2 linked regions of the Rattus norvegicus genome follow. Each later gene encodes a partner of the first gene's protein in a complex. Links are inferred from orthologs where the notes say so. Each region holds a gene or a part of one and is shown in the gene's direction. Other genes may lie near its edges.

Evidence for each region.
Region 2: the proteins of Slc9a1 (region 1) and Chp2 are in contact, whole or in part, in a crystal structure (PDB 2BEC), measured with the Homo sapiens proteins. The link is inferred for Rattus norvegicus from reciprocal best matches to the Homo sapiens genes SLC9A1 and CHP2. Residues at the interface, in NP_003038.2 of Homo sapiens: Ser517, Ile518, Asn519, Glu520, Ile522, His523, Thr524, Gln525, Phe526, Leu527, Asp528, His529, Leu530, Leu531, Thr532, Gly533, Ile534, Glu535, Asp536, Ile537, Cys538, Gly539, His540; in NP_071380.1 of Homo sapiens: Arg30, Arg34, Leu38, Leu51, Ile54, Ala56, Leu57, Asn60, Pro61, Leu62, Ile66, Phe70, Phe83, Leu87, Phe90, Tyr118, Ala119, Leu122, Tyr123, Met136, Val139, Leu140, Met143, Ile156, Arg159, Thr160, Glu163, Ala164, Phe177, Ser180.

The regions. Positions count from the first base shown.
Region 1 is NC_086023.1:150,898,189-150,901,992, forward strand, and holds part of Slc9a1 (sodium/hydrogen exchanger 1), read left to right. Parts: intron 1-2,797; coding exon 2,798-3,258; intron 3,259-3,804. UniProt on the Homo sapiens protein: Electroneutral Na(+) /H(+) antiporter that extrudes Na(+) in exchange for external protons driven by the inward sodium ion chemical gradient, protecting cells from acidification that occurs from metabolism.
Region 2 is NC_086019.1:186,198,712-186,203,189, forward strand, and holds the start of Chp2 (calcineurin B homologous protein 2), read left to right. Parts: upstream 1-1,535; coding exon 1,536-1,602; intron 1,603-2,257; coding exon 2,258-2,330; intron 2,331-2,436; coding exon 2,437-2,517; intron 2,518-2,631; coding exon 2,632-2,762; intron 2,763-2,910; coding exon 2,911-2,972; intron 2,973-3,699; coding exon 3,700-3,822; intron 3,823-4,002; coding exon 4,003-4,056; 3' UTR 4,057-4,478. UniProt on the Homo sapiens protein: Functions as an integral cofactor in cell pH regulation by controlling plasma membrane-type Na(+)/H(+) exchange activity.

The DNA.
Region 1 (3,804 bases):
TATGTGAGTATGCACATATATGTTTACATTGTGTGTGGATTTAGGTTTATGTGTTTATAGTGTGTATGTGAGTGTGTGTGTTTACAATGTGTATGTGAGTCTGTGTGTGTTTACAGTTTGTGTGAGCGTGTGTGTTTACAGTGTGTGAGTGTGTGTTTACAGTGTGTGAGTGTGTGTGTTTACAGTGTGTGTGTGCATGTGTGTGTTTACAGTGTGTGTGTGCATGTGTGTGTTTACAGTGTGTGTGTGCGTGTATGTGTGTTTACAGTGTGTGTGCGCGTGTGGGTGTGCTTACTGTGTATGTGTGTGTGTGTGCTTACTGTGTGTGTGTGTGTGTGTGCTTACTCTGTGTGTGTGTGTGTGTGTGTGTGTGTGTGTGTGTGTGTGTGTGCCGGTATCTGAACTGTGGTATCTGAAGCAGCACACACTTTTTTACCCACCAAGCCATCATCCCTGCCCCAGTTTAGAGGTTTTAATCTAAGATTGAATGATTCTCTTGCTCGGGTGTGTGGCATATTGTGGGGGCAGCACACAGCGGAACAAAATGCTTAAATCATGAACCAAAGAGCAAAGACAACAAGGAGAGAGAACCTCGTGGGGCCTTTCTTTCTCCCCTTGAGGGACACACTCCCGGTGACCATAAAGCCTCTCCCAGATCCCACCTCATAGATGCTTGGTCATCCTCCTGGTGTTATTAACCCTTTAAAACTTGAGGAATTAAAAATTTTAAGATCCACAGTGTAGCAGGCCATGTAGTCTCCCCTTCAGGGCCGTGCAGATCTCTGGGTAAGATGCTGTGGGCTTGTCTCTATGCTTTAGATGGTTGCCTGACCTCTGAGGGTACCAGGTTGAAAGGTGGTGACTGTGGCTTTTAGGTTGTCAAAGAAGGAGGCACAAGAGGGGAATTCCTGTCCTGCCCTAGACAGACAGGCTAGTCAGGGCAGACTTCCTGGAAGAGGAGGCAGAAGCACACTTGACCAGCCACACAGTTCGGGGCCTATTTGCTCGTTTGGGGCAATTTCGAAGAATCTGAGTATCAGGGACTGGGAAGGAGGGCAGGACAAGGGGTGCACCTGCCAGCTGCACACTGGTGTTACTGGGAGGCTCTGTGACCTAGGCAGCTTTTCCACACAAGGTGACGTGTGGAATCAGGAACATGTACACAGTTGCTTTGAGTTTTCTTCCTACCCTAAGACCCATGTTTTTCCAACGTGTTGTTAGTGTCTCTGGGAACTTGGTGTTGTGTGGGGACTGTCGTGCTATCCTAGCATTGCCTGGGTCAGACTGAACAGGAGGGCTTTGCCATAGGGAGAAATGTCCTTTTCCACAGGTCTAGGGTATAGTGATGGGGAGGTCTGACCAGGCAGGCCCTGAAGATCGCGGGATGTGTCCCATCTCTGTGTATCAAGTCATGAGGCATGCGCTAAGCTCCAAAGGTCGCCTCAGCCTTGGGCATATGCGATCGATTGGATTCACCAGCTCAGAGCTTGCTTGGTAGGGAGGAAGAGAGAGCACCTTGTCTTGAGCAGAGGGCTCACGACCTTTTGACCAAGATGGCTTTGGGGGACCGAGTACCCAACATGCATTTGGTTGCTCAGGTCTTCACCTGCCTTCCTACTCCAAAGGCAAACCCAAGAGCTCATAGGGAATGTGGGGTTCTGACCTAACCCTGCATCCCTGGAAGCCTGGGTCTGGTACCTCAGCATAGGCCCCAACAGAGAAGGGCCAGCGCTACTTGGGGAAGTGGTTGGTGGATGTCATAGTGCCTCGGTGTGGAGGGAGGCAAGGAGAACTAAAATTTCAGAACTGTGGAGTTTGCTGGGAGCTGGGCTTCAGACCTGGGCTCCTCCTGGTTCCGCTACTGATTTGCTCTGACTTTGGGCAAATGCCTTCACCTTTTCAGCCTCAGTTGCCCCATCTGTAGAATGGATAGAATTGGGCTAAAGGCAGAATGGCAAAGAGATTTCATTTTACTTGCCAAAACTAACTGCCAGCCTTTGATTTCTTGGGATCTTCTGGATCTGCCTGCTGCCCGCGAGTCTGGGGCTGGAGGTTCCTGAATGTGCTCTGCAGGTGTGCAGACCCAGGCCTACTGTCCCCACTTTTCTCCTGGCACTGATGCTGTATGAGTCTCCTATCTCTCTGAGGTCCCCACTTTAACACCATCCGTTGTCAACTCCATGGCACGAGGCGTGCCGCCTTTCCTGAGGCAGGATTGTGTCTCTGTGTGGGACGCAAGTCGGCTCCCTGAGCATGTGCCTGAGAAAGTGCCATGGGTTCAGGGTAGCTCGGTGCCGTAGGTACTTTGATTTCTGTCAGAGGCATGCAGAGCTGCTGCTCTGTGACAGTTTTCCACGGTAACAGGCAGCTGGTGAATACTCTGTGAAAACGTCGGGCCCAAGGTGCCTCAGCAGGTGAAGATGCTTGCCACCAAGCCTGAGGACTTGAGTTCAGTCCCCAGGACCTGGTTGAAGGAAAGAACCAACTCCTACAAGTTGTCCTCTGACATCCACCCATGTGTCATGGTGCATGTATACATGTGCAAACGCATGCACACACGCACACTATAAATTTTTAAAATAATTATTTTATACCACAGCCCTGTGAAGCTGGTATTATCCCTTCCGTTTTACAGGCAAGGAACCCGAGGCCCAGAGAGTTAACAGAGCGGCCTTCTGAGACCAAGCCTGTGCACCTCTCGCCAGCTGCTCTCCTGGTCCCCAGTCCTGTCCCCAACCTTCTGTTCTTCTGGCTCCCCTGAAAAGCCCACGGCCTCCCGTTCTCTCGCCCCTCACAGGTTTCCATGTGATCCCCACCATCTCGAGCATCGTCCCGGAGAGCTGCCTGCTGATCGTAGTGGGGCTGCTGGTGGGGGGCCTGATCAAGGGCGTTGGAGAGACGCCCCCCTTCCTGCAGTCGGACGTCTTCTTCCTCTTCCTGCTGCCACCCATCATCCTGGACGCAGGCTACTTCCTGCCTCTGAGGCAGTTCACGGAGAACCTGGGCACCATCCTGATCTTTGCTGTGGTGGGCACGCTGTGGAATGCTTTCTTCCTGGGTGGCCTCCTGTACGCCGTGTGCCTGGTGGGCGGCGAGCAGATCAATAACATCGGCCTGCTGGACACCCTGCTGTTCGGTAGCATCATCTCCGCGGTGGACCCGGTGGCCGTGCTGGCCGTCTTCGAGGAGATCCACATCAATGAGCTGCTGCACATCCTGGTCTTTGGGGAGTCCCTGCTCAACGATGCCGTCACTGTGGTGAGGGGTCAGGGGCCACAGCACACGCACACGGGGGCAAGCGGTGCCTTATCCTTCCACTAATGATGATAAAGACGGCCAGTGTCCCCCATGCTTGCTGTGTGTTGGGCACTGCTCTGAGCACCGGGACATAGATTTTCTCTCCTAATCTTCAGGACAACCCAAGGAGAGACGAACTTTCTCACCTTACAGAACTAGAAACACCCCACAGAAGTTAGACAGCTTCCTAGAATGTGGTGGGGCCAAGATTGGAGGCAGTGTGCTTGGTTCATTCTGTGGCCCTCCAGGGCCTGAGCCACTGGCCTAGTAGGTCACTTGCTTCCTGACCAGCTTGCATTTGATACTGTGTTGCCCAGTTACTGGCCTTCTTCCCGCCTCAGTTCATAGCCCATTTAGTCTCTGAGGAGCCTTTTAGCTCTTATGTTGGCTGTTTAAGAATTTGGTCTGTGCAGGGTTCTGAGCAAAGGAAATGAAAGGGCTCTGTTCCCCAGACCTCTAGGATGTGGTGAGTGTGAGATTAGTAGGACTGGGTTGACTGCTTGGTTT
Region 2 (4,478 bases), on another chromosome or scaffold:
TTTGGCCTTGGTTCTTTTAAAAATACTTTATTGAATGTCACCAAGTTCCTGTCCACAGTTCAGATTGTGTTAAGTTCGTTCCTTTTTAGAATTATTTATTTTATGTGTGTGAGCACACTGCCACTTTCTTCAGACACACCAGAGAGGGTGTCGGATCTCATTACAGATGGTTGTGAGTCACCATGTGGTTGCTGGGGATTGAACTCAGGACCTCTGGAAGAGCAGTCAGTGTTCTTAACCGCCGAACCATCTCTCCAGCCCAAGTTTGTTCTTATACGGCCCCTAAATTTGTAAATTCTCCATGTTGAGCTCTAGCGTATTGGTCTGAGGTGTTACACTGACTACTTGATCTAGACAAAGGTTCTTCATGACTGGCCTTTGCTTCTTTATTTCTGTCTCAGTCCACCCTCTTGGGATGCTTACTTTCTGACAGAATGCTATGTGGATGTGCCACCAGTGAGGCGACTGTCTAGTATTTTAAGCCAGGTCACAGACTTCAGCTTGCGGGTGCTGGTACTGGTCAGAAGCCTAAGTGTTTACACACCTGTTGTTCTATCGGGCCCATAGGGCACACTGGGAGAGTGAACATGGATTGTATGGGCACCGTGGCAAAGAGCCTCTCGTTAGAGATAGCAGAACTGTCTAGGAATTTCCTCAACCCACTGTGCTGTGTCAGACCCACGGCCTTGGGTTTGTATTGGCAAGCAATCCGTTCCACTCAGCTGCAAAGTTAGCCCCAGAACTTCTGATTTCTGAGAGAATCCAGGAGTTTGGATTTGGGATAAATCTTACACTTCTGTTTGTTTTGAGATAAGGTCAAACAAGGAAGCCCAGGTTGGCTTAGGACTCATGTAGCTCAGAGTAGCCACCCACTCATGGCTAATTTCCTGCACCAGAGTCCTCAGTGCAGGTCTTACGAGGCTTTGTGGATCTTAAGAATTAGTTCAACCACACGATACTCGTACATAGATAAAACTTCGTGCCCTTGTGTAGCATAAGGAGAGAGTAGTCGGGATTCCTGTCTCTGCTGTCCCACTTAGTGGAGCCCGGACTTTCTCATCACCATTCCTCCTGCCCAGGGAGCCGAACACTCCCCCTGCCCCCTCTTCCGCTCCCTAGAAGAAAATCTTCATCCCGCCCAGCAGGACTTAAAACCGAGTGAGAGCACTGGGTGAGCAGATCTGGGAGGTCCCATGGAGGAGGTAGGCTTGTATCTAGGGAGTATTGAGCGAAAACTGGCTCGCATAGGCGTGAGGAAGGCGGGGCCCTGGCGTCGCTCAGCCGCTGGCGACCTCAATCTCCGGGCTGAAACGACCAGTTGTTCTTAGCCTTCCCCTCTGACCGGCTACCCCGGGCATTGTTTTCTGTTCTCCAGGATTGTAGGTGGCAGGCAAAAAACGCCTGGATTCTGGCTGCTCTCCAGGCCGGTGACCTTCGGCTCTGGGGCCACTGGGCAGCCGCGCCTTTGGACGGGAGGAGAGGAAGGAGAGGACGCCTGGTTCCTTTGGCTGTTCGTCTCCTTCTGTGGCTTTGCCATGGGCTCACGGAGCTCTCATGTCGCGCTCATTCCTGATGTGGACCAAATTCGCAGAGAGACGGGCTGTGAGTGTGAGGGTGGTGGTGGTGGTAGTGGTGGTGGTGGTGAGCGCAGCTCAGTAGTACGTGGGCGGGGACAGGAGGAGTTTTAGAGTAGTGAAGGGGGTCACCAGAATGTAGCTTGAGTATTCCAGATCCCAGAGACTTAGAGGGCTTAGAGTGTGAGTCTGGGAATTTGCGCCTCTGGAGCTGGAAAACCAAGAGCCCAGGTACTTAAGAGTCAAGTTTGAGGCAGTCCGGGTTGATGGACCAGATTCACTCAGGTGTCCTTGGGCTCGGATGGAGACTGAAGGCAGAGCTGAGGACGGATGCCTGGGCTCTGAGAACCTCCTGGGTTCTCCAACCTAGTATTTCCTTGAGTCAAGCTCCCTCCAGCCGAGTCGACTCCACACATGGTCATGCAAGGGTAACGACTCTCATCCCCATCCATCTGCCTCTTACTTATGGTTGAAGTCGCGCTGAGGATGGGGAGATAGATGACCCTGTTCCCTGTTATGTTGAAGGGTGTAGGGGGAGGTTAGAGATGGGACTAAACCCTCTTATTCTCATTTCCTGCCCACATCCCCTTGGGTCCCCTGCAGCGCACCCAAGGCACACGGGATCTGGCAGTAAGGACTTGCGAGTCCTCTGAGGGCTCATCCCCACCTCCTTCTCTCCGCAGTCTCCCAAGCTAGCCTGCTCCGTCTCTACCACAGGTTCCAAGCCCTAGACAGGGAGGAAAAGGGCTTCCTGAGGTGAGTAGAAGAGATCTAAGATCTTTTGCTTCTGCTTTTTCTGTCCCCACCCTCCTCACTGACACCGCCATCTGCCTCCTTTGCTTTCATTGTGCTGTCCTCACAGCCGCCTAGACCTCCAGCAGATTGGAGCCCTGGCTGTGAACCCCCTGGGTGACCGCATTATAGACAGCTTCTTCCCCAATGGGTGAGTGAGTGTCCACTGGCTGACCAGAGGGGAGATGGGTGTGGGTGGCAAAGCGATGCTACCGATGGTGGCAGTCTGGGTGACCATTGCCCTTCTCCATCCTTGTCCCTATAGGAGTCAGAGAGTGTATTTCGCAGGCTTTGCCAGAGTCCTGGCTTATTTTCGACCTATAGATGAAGACGATGCCACACTCCGAGACCCCAAGCAACCTGAACCCCTAAACAGCAGAATGAATAAACTGCGCTGTGAGTGTGTGAGACCTGCCCAAGTGAGGCCCTCCACATTTATCCATACCAGGAGAGACCCGGGAACCTCTAACTCCCCCTGTGGGCCTGGTGAGGACTTAATATCAGCTCAGGGAAACTCACTTCCTCTTCCCCTCTCTTTTCCCAGTTGCATTTCAGCTCTATGATCTGGATCGGGATGGGAAGATCTCCAGGAATGAAATGCTACAGGTCAGAAGACCATGGGTACATCAGATGTGATGTGGGCAGGGCAAGATGGTTAAATGGAGGCGTGTGTGTGTGTGTGTGTGTGTGTGTGTGTGTGTGTGTGTGTGTGTGTGATGACTGGGGTTGCAGTTGATTATGTGTTAGGTAAGATCTGGGATTGGATGGGGTTGGGGTTGGGTTAGTTAAGGACAAGGGGTGGGGAGTAAGTAGGTATGAGACTGGGAACAGAGTTCGGAATCCCAACATAGGCGTAATTCGGCTTCTCGCTAGTATATAAGATTCTTGGTTGTCATTACTGGGAAGAGATCACACACTTGCTGTTTATCTGGAAAGGGCCAGCAATACTTCTGTACACACCCAAACACCTAGACAGCCTTCCACATCAAGGAGTTATCTAGGTTCAAATGTCAGTAGTGCCAAGACTCTGGGACAGATGATAAAGTTAGGGTGGAGGGGAAGGTGTTGTTGAGTGGAGGATGGACGTTGATTGGGTTATAAGGTTTAGCTGCAGGTGAGCACTGTCGGAGTGTGAGATAGAATCATATGGAAGACTGGACAGTGGACAGCGATGCAGTGGCAGGCGTTTGCTATGGGCTACAGGGGAAATTGAGTCTGATGGTGAAGAGTGAGAAAATTTGGTTGTAACTTATGGGGTGAGGTTGGAGGGCTGGGGCTAAAGGAGCAGCTTCTGTGGCTCTTCTCCATGACTGCCTCTTCTCTCACCTCCCAGGTTCTCCGCCTCATGGTTGGGGTCCAGGTGACAGACGAGCAGTTGGAGAGCATCACAGACCGCACAGTGCAGGAAGCCGATGAAGATGGGGATGGGGCCGTGTCCTTCCTGGAGTTCGCCAAGGTTAGGAGGAGTTGAGATCAGGAGTCCCTAGGACAGCAAGGCATGGGAAATACAAGTCACTGGAGGATGGGAGAGACCTGGGGCATATTGGGGGATGCAAGGACTCCAAGGGAGGAGGTGAATGAGACACCTAGGTTGAGACTCAAGCCTCTTGACTTGACCACACCCATCTCTCCCCAGTCCTTAGAGAAGATGAACATCGAGCAGAAGATGAGCATCCGGATCCTGAAGTGACCCCTGTGTCTTTGACTCATGCAAACATTTATGGACTCGGGATTTATCCTCAGGCCTCTGGAAGCAGGAGCCCACAAGCCATATTCTACTCTGAAACTTTGTTTAAGGTTAGGAAAGGGAATTGGAGGAGCGTGTGCTGAAGTCTCATTTGCTCTCAGATTTGTGAATCAGCCAGTGATTTGGTTGCAAGTGGCTGAAAGGCCAACCCAAAGTGACAAGATAAAAAAGGGAAAAGGATGACATGGGCCTGTGACTAGACAGCCCGGAAGTAGTTGCCTTTATGCACACCTGGATCCAAGGACACGCATGGTGTCATCGGGATTGAGTTTTGTCACCTGGGGTTCTCAGGTTGGCTGCCTTCTTGCATTGGGATCATTCCTTTGGGTACGAAGAGCCGACAGCTGTCGAGACCACATCCTCTT